2 linked regions of the Cricetulus griseus genome follow. The main gene of each other region encodes a partner of the protein of the gene in region 2 in a complex. Links are inferred from orthologs where the notes say so. Each region holds a gene or a part of one and is shown on either strand. Other genes may lie near its edges.

Region 1 (6,015 bases), on a different chromosome or scaffold from region 2:
GCCTCTGAGGGTCCAGGAAAACACACCCACCATACAGGGTCTGAGAATCAGCTTTTGCAGTGGAGAGTAGGGACAGAAACTGTTTTTTCTAGAGAAGCTGTTTTTTGATACTGTAAGGCGGGAGAGAAGTCAGACTCCTGCTTCTGAGACCTAGGACTCCAGGCCTAACTCTCTGGAACTCCATGAGCTGTGGGTTTCTTGAAGCCTTGGGTTCACTTTATAGCCCTGGTTTTGGAGTGGGGATTTCCTTTAAGACTGACCTGTGGGCACGTTTGTGGGGCACTGTCTTATTGGTGGTTGATATAGAAGCCCACCGTGGGCAGTACCATCCCTAGGCAGGTGGGCCTGTGCTGAAGAGAAAGACTAGCTGAGTGTGAACCCAAGAATGAGCAAGAGATCAAGGTGGCAAGCAGTGCTCCTCCTAGGTTTCTGCTTTAAGCTTCCTGCCTCAGTTTCCCTTGATGAAAGCCAAATAAACCCTTTCTTCCTCTAAGTTGCTTTTGGTCATGGTGCTCTTTACAGAAACCGAACTAGAACAAGCAGGGTCAGTGGGGAGGGAGGAGTTTCTGTTACAAGTGTGCCTGTGTGCTTCGAACAGAAGAACTCAGCCTTAGATTCAAGGTAGACCTGGATTCAAGTCCTAACTGGTTTTTACTAGTTGTGCAACTTCAGATGAGATAAGTAACTTTTTTGAATTCCAACTTCCATATTTATAAAATGAACCGTGTCCAAGAGTGTTTGGAATGAGACAACAGCAAGATGAAGCCCTCAGCAAAGGTTGGAAAGCGGGTGGTGGGGGCATTTTCAGAGAAGGGGTATTTCAGCTGCTTTTGAAGGAATGAGGAGCTGTGGGGGAGGAGAAGGCAGCAAAGAAACACCCAGGATGCATTTACAGCATCTCTGCTGGATGGACAGCAAGGGCTGATGGCAAATGCGGCAGCCAGAGGCCCTCTTTCTGCAAACAGAGGAGCACCGCCAATGGTCAGCTCTGTCACCCACAGTTGTATACTAGTACTCAAACCCAGGAGGTGGACCTTCCCAGGACTCTAAGGCAAGTGCATAGATCAGGATGTATGCAGTACCACTCCCAGGTGTTGCTAGCCACCCTAGAGAGGAAACAATGCAGTCAAATGAGAGGGAGGCTGAGCACATAAGGTGAGCCCCTCCTCTCCTCCCCTGCTCTACACACTACAGCCACTTTCAGGCCCTCAGAGTCAGGGGCTCCTTTCCCTGCAGACTTCCTATGAGCTCAGACACAAGGTTTTGGAGGGTACAGAAATCCATTTGCAGAGCCTCTAAGTTGGAAGCCAACAGCCAGACGCTTGGGCTCTGAGAAGATAAATGCCACTGGCTGGCTGGGCGCAGAACCCCAGAGGTTTGGGCATCTCCCCCAGGACCACCTGCCTGGGTACATTCAGATGCTGTTTGCTTCCTAAGCACAGCACTCCCTGGAGGCCCTTCTCATAAGCCAAAGCAGTTCCTGGCTGCCTAGCTGGTGCTGGGCCCCTGAGAACAGCAGTGCTGTGAAGGAGCTGACTAAAGGGAACCCGGGAAAAGCAAGGACTGGCACCCACTTTCCCCAGCCCTCTGCTAAGAGACCCCAGCTAAAGCTCTTCAATCTCAACCCTCCTTGTCTTGTCTAATACCTTCCCTCCAGCCTGCGGCTCTCTTTCCCCTTCTCTTTCATCCTCTTATTTGCCATAGCTACCATCACATTTCACACCAATATTCTCCTGTACTGTTACAAGTCTCTCACAGAGTGCTGTCCATTAAGTTCAGATGCTATGCCTAGCATTAAGCTGCAGCTTCACATTTAGTCCTTACTAATCAGCCTGTGAGGCACTGTCCCTATTTCACAGAGCTGGACACTGAGGCTTACAGAGGCAGTTTGGGCAGGCCAGGGTCTGATTGGAGAAGCTTTCACTGGTGACATATTTTCTTTCCACAGATGTGGCCAGTCACCCTCCTACAGGAACGGAGTTTCTTCTCCCATGGACTACATTGCTGTCTCCAATTATCTTCGGATCCCCCTTCCTGATCCAAGCATTGTACACCCTCTCCCACCGCCTGGTAGCTCAAAGATACCCTATGAGAGGAGCACCATCTCCAGCCGGGGTTCAGCTTGACAACGGGATGTGCTTCGGCCAAAAGAACATGAGTAGATGAGACATCAGTCCTTCTGAGTGGACCCTGCAGAGCTACCGCCCAGCCCGGCTAGCTTCTTACTCTTTCCCTCTACCCTAAGGACAACATGCCCCAAAGGGGATGCTCCTTCAGCACTAGTCCCAGAATGAAAGATACATGGAGCAGAAACTCAGCTGGCAACCCACAGTTGCTGACACATGAGCGAGAGTAAGCAAACAGTAGAAATAAATGCTTGTTGTAAGCCAAGAGGACTTTGGGAATGTTGGCCCAGTAAAGCTAACTGATGGACTTCTCATTCGGCCAGTATAGGCAAAGCAGGAAGCGAAGGGCTATGGTGCCAGAGACTGGGGCACACGCACATCTTCAGGAAGGACAAGGAGGGGACATGGATAGCTTAGACCAGGTCAGAGGTTCTACACTGGGTCCCAGAGCTGAAGGTTCTACTTACCCTGTCCATAAGGTCCAGGCTGTTGGGCACCATAGGAACTTGGAGGTGGCTGACCGTAGGGGCCTCCTGGAGGTACACCACCATATGGTCCGCTGGGAGTTCCAGAGGGGAGTCCCCCAGCACTGGGGTATCCATAGGGCCCTCCGGGGGCAGGACCTCCGTAACCACCGCCAGGGGGAAGTCCACTGCCATACTGGCCCCCACCATGGGGAGGTCCAGGGTAGTAGCCACCTGGGGGTGCTCCAGGTGCCTGTCCTGCAGCTCCCGGGAAAGTCTGCAGGAAAAACAGGCATGAGCAGGGTGAGGAAAGAAGCCACAGCATAGCACTTTACAGCTACAAAGCACCTGCACTGCCCACAGGTGAGGTTGGACTTACATTTCTGCTCAGGTGGCCTTGAGGCTTCTAGGGAAGCTACTTGTTACCCAAGGTCATACAGAGTCCAGACTGGCATCTTATCCTCCTGACTTCTCTTTCCTGTACATCAAGGGCCCTACAAGGCCTGGGATCATGTTTGACTTGTGGCTTTATCCCTAGCTCCAGGGGACAATGGATGCTCAGTAAATATATGAACAAAGTGGAATGCTCACCCTTTGGGATCTTGACCTCCACCTGCAGAATTCACAGCACAAGTACAGTCTTTGATACAAAGCTCCGCCCCTCATCAGCCGCCAGTGATGTAGTCACAGCATGGACCCTCCACAGCAGCTCAAGATGCACGAATAGTCCCTAACTTCATGACTCTAAGGTAGACAGGGAGCCTATCCCCAGGGCAGTAGGGACAAAACCCAAATACCACCGTTCAGGTTTGTCAGCCTCTAACTCATGCCAATAATGTACTAGGGAAGGAAGACGAAGCAACTTCCTCCTGGAGTAGTCTGACCAAGAGCCAGCCCACATATGAATCCTCCACTCCTTGCCCTCTGCCTTTTGCCTAACCCTGGAAATAGGTTGTGTATTTGTTGGAGAAAAGCCCTGCATGGAAGTAACAGAATCCTATAGAGTCTTTATAGGAGGGAATGAAAAGAGTTTTGTTCTCAAAAACAAAAAGCTAATTGCCACTCTTCTGAGGTTTGCAAAGGGAAGTTGAAATTATTCTGAGATCTAGAAGGATGAAAACAAACAAACAAACAAACAAACGAGTTTAATCCCAGCACTTGAGAGGCAGAGGCAGGTGAATCTCTGTGAGTTCAAGGCCAGCCTGGTCTACAGATCGAGTTCCAGGACAGCCAGGGCTATACAGAGAAACCCTGTCTTGAAAAACAACAACAAATCAGGGTCTTGTCTAGTAAGTCTATCCAGTAAGTTGGACAACTCTGGTTCTGTCCTGGTAAATAAGAGTCACTGTTGGTTTGGGATTAAAACAAAAGTTTTAGGTATATTGGGAAGAAACAACCATTGTAAAATAGCTGAAAAGGGAGTGAATCCTGCTGCAAGGGAAAGAGGAGTGTTCAAGATAAACAGAGAGCATAAATCTAAGCTGTCCTCCTTCCAGGCTCAAGCCACTCATTGGAACTGTAAAGCAAAAGGAATTAAGGAGATGAGTCCAAGATCTGTAAGGGAGGCAAAAAGATGGGAAAGCCACTTTGAGAATTCTCAAGGGAGGCCAAAGCAAACTGATATTGCCCAAGAGCTAATGAAAAGAATTTAATATTATCTTTTTGGGAACAGACCATTGTAATCAACAAGGGAAGGATGATGGACAATATACCAGACATGTATACCAGACATGGAACACCTAGCTGAACTCTGCTGGGACAAGCTGCAAATGAAGAGAGACTTGTATTGAAGTGTGTAAATCCTTTAAAACAGACATATACTTTAGTATAAGAGGCTAATTGGATATCATCCATATACTGAAATATGTAATAAGTATCTGAAGACTTTTATCTAATAGAGTGTATTGCCTTTTTAGCGGTAGTACTATACTATATACCCACCACTGGCAGCTGGAGAAGTACTTGCCATTGGAAGGGAGATATAGGTGTTTGCTTATTGACAGGAGGCACTGAGAAAGCAATTCTTGATGACCAGGGCATAATGGAATAGAAAAAAAAAAAAAAAAAGCAATTATTTTAAATCAGTAACTATAAACATAGGAGAGGTGGAACTCCAGGCTGGATGGCTCCAAGAGATGAAAAGGAGCATTAATAACATGGAGATCACATAAAAGCCTCCATTTAACAGATTTTGGGGAAGATAGAAGATAGATAACAGCACTGAACAATGGGTTCTATATGGTCTGGCTGAAGTTGTTCTTGGATTAGCTGACATAATTGCTTACGTTTGTCCCCAGTTAGGGGGACCTTTGATCCAAGAAAGCTTAGGTAGGTGTTTCTCATGGCCCTGAGGGAAAGGGATATTCAGGGGCTGTCACAACCCCACTGCCACAAGGGAGAAAGATAAGGGTAAAACAAAGAAGTGGAAAACAGCAGTTTGATTTTGGAAAACTGCACGTAAGGTTTCTGTACTTACAAAAGTGGGGGATTACTTTTGTCACCAATTCCTTGAATGTCTAAAACCGGGGATTCAATGTGCCAACTAGGCCAGAGTTATTACACTATAATGGAGACACCAGCTGCTATGTCTCTAATGCCCTTCATGGGAATCTGGCTGTTAGAAATACCAACTGAGTCCAGTGTGCCCTGTGGAATCAAGTTCTTCCTTAGCCTGTTATCAGTGTCTATAGGGTGGGATAAGGATTAATAATCAATTTTATCAACTGAGTTAGAGCTGGAATTTCTTGGAGCAGCTGGCAATAACCTATAATGTGAATCTGACTAATGTAGTCAGAATCAATGACATCTGGAGGAAAAAAAATCTGGGCAAACAAAACTTTTAGAGTCCAGTTACCTAAAATCAAGTCAAAACATTTGTTGGAAGGGGTTCCTCTTTACCTCTTCTATTACATTTAATTTTATATCCTAATTACAGATAGATCTAATATAGAAATACCTTTAATAATCCAACCTCTTGATGTCTCAGGCTTGGGATGGAGCTGGGTGGCGTGAGGCAGAAGTACAAAGCACAGCACCCGTAGTTCTGGGCCCCTGCAGAGGCAGCGCAGGGCCAGGGCACTGGGACCACAGGCAGGGAACCAAAGGGGTTTGCTGCATCACCAAGCTGCCCTCAGCACTCATCCTTGTGCGTCCCTCAATTGGACTGCCTTCACTAGCAACTCTAGATGGGCACTGACTGGCCCAGAGAAGCCATCTTTACATTCACAGTGCATTTTAGAAAGGGGTTTAACCATATTGAAGTCCATCAGTAAGTTTTGTTTTTAGAAATGGTCTCTTTCACCACATTTGAAACACAGAGGGAGGGCCACAAGGCTGCTGCCGGAATGTGAACCTTCCACTCTTACTTACGTGCCAATGCTTTGGTGGGCTTTTTTTATTATTATTTAAAGATTTTATTTATTTAT
Region 2 (5,900 bases):
TGCTATTCTGCTCTTTGAAATAAGAGCAGAATGTATGAAACAAGTTACATACGTGAATTTCACTTATGGAGCAATGACTTGCACTTACCTCACTAGTGAACATGGCACAGAAATAATCACTGCAGGCAGCCAGCACAATCCGGTGGGCAGGGAAGTCTTTCTGCTCTACTCTCAAGGTCACATCACAGAGGGTGTTGCTCTTCCTGAGGGAGTTCATGGAGTTGAGGATGGACTTGGCATGAGTATTTGTCATTATGTCTTTGGGGGCCATAATGCCGCCCATCAAGCACTATGGAGAAAGAACAAAGTAATCCTTGGATGATGCAGCTACAAGAGAAAAGAGACCATATTTGAAGAAGTGGGAAGCTGAATACACAATTAGCTTTACAAATTAAGGAACTAAAAAGGGGCTTCCTTAAACACAAACTTCCACAAGTCCAGAGCATGCCCGACCCTGGCACCACTACCATAATCTAGCTAACACCAACTTAAGTTATCTCTTCTGCCTCCAAATTCTACTAGTTCTACATCTTTGTATTCAACCAAGTAAGGATCAAAATATTCAAAAGGTAAAGTATTGACTTTGAACATGTACAGACTTTTATTATTTTCCCTAAATAACACTATCTTAGTCAGGGTTACTAATGTTGTGATAAAACACCACGATCAAAAAGCAACTTGGGAGTCAGGTGTAATGGCTCACACCTTTAAATCCCTGCACTTGGGAGGCAGAGGCAGGCAGATGTCTTGAGATTGAGGCCAACCTGGTTTAAAGAGTGAGTTACAGGACAGCCAAGGTTACACAGAGAAACACTGTCTCCAAAAACAAGCAAAATCAACAAAAAAGCAACTTGGGGAGGAAAGGGTTTATTTGGCTTACAGATCCCAAGTCACAGTCCACTGTAGGAACTCAAACCAAGTGGAACTGATACTCCAGGAAATGATGCAGAAGCCATGGAGGGGAGGCTCATTGACTTGTTCCTTATGACTTGCTCAATTTACTTACTTTTCTTTCTTTTTTCTTTTCTTTTCTTTCTCTTGTTTTTTGAGACAGGGTTTCTCTGTTGTAGTCCTGGCTGTCCTGGCACTTGATCGGTAGACCAGGCTGGCCTCAGCTCACAGACATTTGCTCGCCTCTCCCTCCCAAGTGCCAGGATTAAAGGAGTGCAGTACTACCACCTGTGTTCTTAAAGAACACAGGACCAAGAGACCAGGGGCAGCACAGTGAGCTAAGCATTCCACCATCAATCACTAGTTAAGAAAATGCCCTACCAAATTCACTGCACCCTGATCTTCTATAGGCCTTTTCTTAAATAAGGTTCCCTCCTCTCAGATGACCATAGCTTGTGTCATACTGACATAAAATCAGCCAGTACAAAAACAACAATTTTATTGTTTTAGGTATGAGTAATCCAGAGTGTGTGCATGGAGTATATGCAAATACTATGCATATCATTCTATATGACTTCAGAGCCAGGTGTAGTGGAGTATCCCCCATAATTCAAGCACTTGGGATACAGAGGTAGATTGCTTCAAGCTGAAGGTCACCGTAGTCTACATAATGAGTTCCAGGACAGCCTGGGCTCCATCTCAAAAAACCAAACCAAAGACTAGCACACTCAGATTTTGCTATCTGTGGATTCCTGTAACTAATTCCCTATGAGTATCAGAGAATGACCAGAACCCCGAAGTTCACGTATATGCATCAGTTGAATAATTATGTATTTGAAAAGCAATGTGAGGAATACTTTCCTGAGTGGGAAGATTTTAGTAGTGCTATTTTCCTCCTCAGAACCCTTATTGGGGAATGCGATGGAGGTGGTTATGAGAACAATCTTTTACTTTCTGAAATGAACCAAGAAAAGAAACTCAAGACCTGGCCATGATGGTGCACACCTTAATCCCAGCACTCGGGAGGCAGAGGCAGGCAGGAGCTCTGTGAGTTCGAGACTAGGTTGGTCTACAACAGCTAGTTCCAGGACAGCATCCAAAGTCACAGAGAAACCCTGTCTCAAAAAACCAAAAAACAAAACAAAAACAAAGCTAGTAGTAGTCAGGGAACTTCACCCCCTCTGGAGGCTGCTGCATCAGCTTGCTAGACAGGGTCTCTCCCTCAGTAGGGTAAACAATTTAATAAACCTTGTGCATTTGCATTGGTGGTCTGTCTCCCTGGTATCTTTGGGGATCCTTGTTACTCAGGAACAACATTTATAAGCCGGGCATTGGTGGCGCACGCCTTTAATCCCAGCACTTAGGAGGCAGAGGCAGGCGGATCTCTGTGAGTTGGCCAGCCTGGTCTCCAGAGCGAGTGCCAGGATAGGCTCCAAAGCTACACAGAGAAACCCTGTCTCGAAAAACAAACAAACAAACAAACAAACAAAGAAACTCTTCTTCCAAAGTTCACAATCATAATTTCTGAAAAGTTGAGGTTCTAAGTTCTCATCTCTTGTTTAGTTACATTAAAAGCACCTCCAACAACTCCACAACCTCTATTTTACAAAAAAGGGGATGATTCTCTAAAGCAAATTGTTTTCGTTTTTAAAAGCTTTCCTAAAGTTAACATAGTTTCAATTGTGAGCCACAAGAAACTCTAGGGATTTGTTGAATTCTCAGTAAGGGTCTGAAGATTATGAAATTTTCCTGGTGTCTTACTACAGGCAGGGCTCAGCCTGTGATTGGAACTTTTAAGGTTGGTGTCAAAACTGACAGTAACCCCAGTCTAGCAACCCTCCTCCCAGCACAAAGCTCCTGAGCACATCCTTTACCTTTTAGAAACGCCATATTCTAGAACTTGTGCTAATATCTGAATAGAGGGGTTCCATTTTGAATGGGGGGGAGGGGCATCAAATTCTAGAAGACTAAAATGAAAAGGAAAAAAATAACGTCGTTCTCCCCTGCCAACGCCAAGCTTACCATCATCAAGTATTAGAAAGACCTGGATAGGTAGGGCAAGGAGTTAGATATGCGGTAGTCATGGAAAACTGCATCTGTATCTTGGTAGCTGTGTCTCCTGGTTAGGTGGGGACTTAACGCACGCCAGAACGCAGGAAACCAACCAAATTGCACTAAGCCTTCCCATGGTCAGCATGCACCTCTCTGGCGAAGCATCCGTGAAGCTAAATTTGGGATATTCCCACTGTATCAGAAACCAAGGCATCAGAGTGCTTAACGAATTGCCAACATGCACGTTATTCAAGAAGGGATTGCAAAAAGACTCTGGCTTCATTACAATGTGTTGCGGTTTCGACACCAGCACCTTGATTTTTTTTTTTTCAAGATCACATTGTGGGGGGGTGCCCTACAACGGAACATGAGGTTCACTATAATTTGCGAGGGCAAGGGTGTTGCATGAATATACCATGCACCTCATCAGTTCTCTTTAAAAACTCCTTTAAAATGCCCAACGCAGACCCCAATGCGCTGCTCCCACCTACCTTCCGAGAAAGCCCACTCCAATCTTTGGAGTATGTAGCTTTGCTTTGTTAAATAAACTTCGCCTTAACTGTTTCTCGGCCGAATTCTTTCCTTTCAGGTGAAACCTTCTCCCGGGGCAGGCAGGCAGGCAGGCAGGCAGGCGGGCAGGCAGGCGGGCGGCAGGCAGGCAGGCAGGCAGGCAGGCGCTGCTCCGGGGAAGCAGAGAAGCCACCGCTAACCCCGGGGCGCCCCACCGAGTCTCCGCCCGATCCGGGGGTCACCAGGGCTGGGGGAAGGCCGCACCCCAGAATGAGGGCAGAAGTGGAAGGCCGGGTGTCACCGCCGCATCCACTCACCTGGGCTCCGTGGACGCCCAAGCGGAGGGGCTGGGCGCGGGGCTCTCAGGCGGCTGAGCAGCCGGAGCGCCGCCGCCGCCGCCGCCCGGACCAGCCGCTGCGGAGCAGTCTCTGTGGTACTCCAGTCTCTAGGCTCGTCAGCCGCGCGGCGTGATGACGTCGCGCAACGGGAGGGGCGACCCTCTCCTAGGTCACGTCACGTTAGGGAGGCCAAGCGGAGGGGCCCTGCGTACCTGGGGGTTCAGAAAACGGGAAAGAGAAAGTGGAAGGGTGGACGGAGTGGGACGTGCGGCGCGGGAGCGTGGGCCGGAGGCGAAGGGTTCGAGGCTGCCGGTCCCCACACACGGTACGGCAGGCGGCTGCGTCCCCCTCACACTCAGCAGTCCCCCGCAACTTCAAAATTGCCCAGGTCAGTTGTGAACAATCAGGCTGCCTGTCGCCGTGGGACCTTCTTAGGCCCTGTGACCGCAGGCCTCTGGGCCCTGAATGGGCCTGTCAACCATGAGGCGATGACTTCCTTCACTCCCAGCCAAGGGGAAGGAACTTGTGGATTGACTAAACTGTCAGAAATTGGACACAGTGAGGGAAACTGCAAAGGACCTTCTCAAAGAGGACACTAGTCATCTCTATTGCATTGACCCATCACCATGTCATTCATTAGTGCTGAAGTTGTTAGGAATTTTGCTTCTCGTTGATTTCAAGTTTACCTTGTGGCTGAGAAGGGAAAGGTATTTCTTGGTTTAGCGTATATGAATGAATAAATTGGATTATCCTGCTTTTCTCTGTACAACATTTGGTTCTGTTTGTTTTGTTTTTCGAGATAGGGTTTCTATGTGTAGCCCCGGACTGTCTTGGAACTCGCTCTGTACATCAGGTTGGCCTCGAACTCACAGAGATCCTCCTACCTATGCCTCCCGAGTGCTGGGATTAAAACCTTGTGCCACCACGCTTGGCAAACATTTGGTTTTTTAAAGATCATAAAGTGTAGTCAAGTGGGCAGCTTTAGTGTTTCCTTCGTGTCATATCTTCCTGATCCCAAAATGTTCCTGAATTTTAAATATGGTGGATGGAGTACAATGCAGAACTGATAGAAATTCTATTGAGGGCTCTTTGGATTTATTTGTTGAAATGATTAATATAGATATATTTTGATTGTTTTTTGTATCCTAGACATTGGACTGTTTGTCGTGTCCCCAGGCAGGAGTGCCTCCCCAAAACTTCTAGAGTAGATAAATGTAAGGTAGCTAGAACAGGAACCAATGCCCTCTTCTGACCTCCTTGGTCACCAGGCACATACATGGTGCACATACATACATACAGGCAAAACATTTATACACATAAAACATTATTTACTAGCTTTCTTGGCCTTCTCTGACTGTTTCTGCTTTTACATGTAAACATTTTCTTAATAGACTTTTTGCCCTTTTTCTTTCATCTAGGCAAATGCTTTCCTGACAAACAGAAAACACAAGTTATTCAAGAATTTTCTTGAGAGCTGGGCATTACACATGTAAACCCATACTTGGGAGATGACAGCAGGAGAGAGGGAATTCAAGAGTAGCTCAGCCTTCGTGGGAAATTCTATCCTAAAAACAGTAGCAACAAAAGCTGGAAGTGTAGCTAGCATATGAGAAGCCCAAAATGGATGGAGGTAGCAGGATAGAGAGTTTCTTTGGGATTTTTTTTAATTTTTGGTTTTTCGAGACAGGGTTCCTCTGGCTGTTCTGGAACTCACTCTGTAGACAGGCTGGCCTTGAACTCACAGAGATACACTTGCTTCTGCCTCCCAAGTGCTGGGACTAAAGTTGTTCGACAACCTATTCTTTGGGTCTTTACCATTTATAATAATTGAGTTGCTAAGGCTCCAATGTAATGCAGGACCTCGTTCTCTATAGGTAGTAAGGGAAAAGGGCCCGTGGTGAAAACTGCAAATCACTCATATTGCAATGAAAACCGAGTCCGGGGTTTAAAGTACTAAGAGTTAAGATGGCAGAGTCTAGAGCACTCAGGGAAATGAGTAAGAGGGCTTGTAGCTGGGATGACACAGCCAAGCTAAACATATAACAGGAAGGACAAAGCTCTGGGCCGGTGAAGAGAAGTCATCCAGTCCTCCTGAAGCCCTTGAGGCAT

Evidence for each region. Proteins that work in one complex are often made in the same cells at the same time.
Region 1: the proteins of Klhl12 (region 2) and Pef1 are in contact, whole or in part, in a crystal structure (PDB 8RBH), measured with the Homo sapiens proteins. The link is inferred for Cricetulus griseus from reciprocal best matches to the Homo sapiens genes KLHL12 and PEF1. Residues at the interface, in NP_067646.1 of Homo sapiens: Phe289, Gln293, Arg320, Tyr321, Leu371, Glu417, Tyr434, Ile439, Phe481, His486, Cys511, Tyr512, Tyr528, Leu533, Cys558; in NP_036524.1 of Homo sapiens: Gly15, Gln16, Ala17, Pro18, Gly19, Ala20, Pro21, Pro22.

What each region holds. Positions count from the first base shown.
Region 1 is NC_048595.1:22,915,581-22,921,595, forward strand, and holds the start of Pef1 (peflin), read right to left. Parts: upstream 3,670-6,015; 5' UTR 3,257-3,669; coding exon 3,182-3,256; intron 2,868-3,181; coding exon 2,594-2,867; intron 1-2,593. UniProt on the Homo sapiens protein: Calcium-binding protein that acts as an adapter that bridges unrelated proteins or stabilizes weak protein-protein complexes in response to calcium.
Region 2 is NC_048598.1:54,783,846-54,789,745, forward strand, and holds the start of Klhl12 (kelch-like protein 12), read right to left. Parts: upstream 3,908-5,900; 5' UTR 3,771-3,907; intron 3,756-3,770; exon of another isoform or gene 3,435-3,755; intron 328-3,434; exon of another isoform or gene 290-327; 5' UTR 284-289; coding exon 89-283; intron 1-88. UniProt on the Homo sapiens protein: Substrate-specific adapter of a BCR (BTB-CUL3-RBX1) E3 ubiquitin ligase complex that acts as a negative regulator of Wnt signaling pathway and ER-Golgi transport.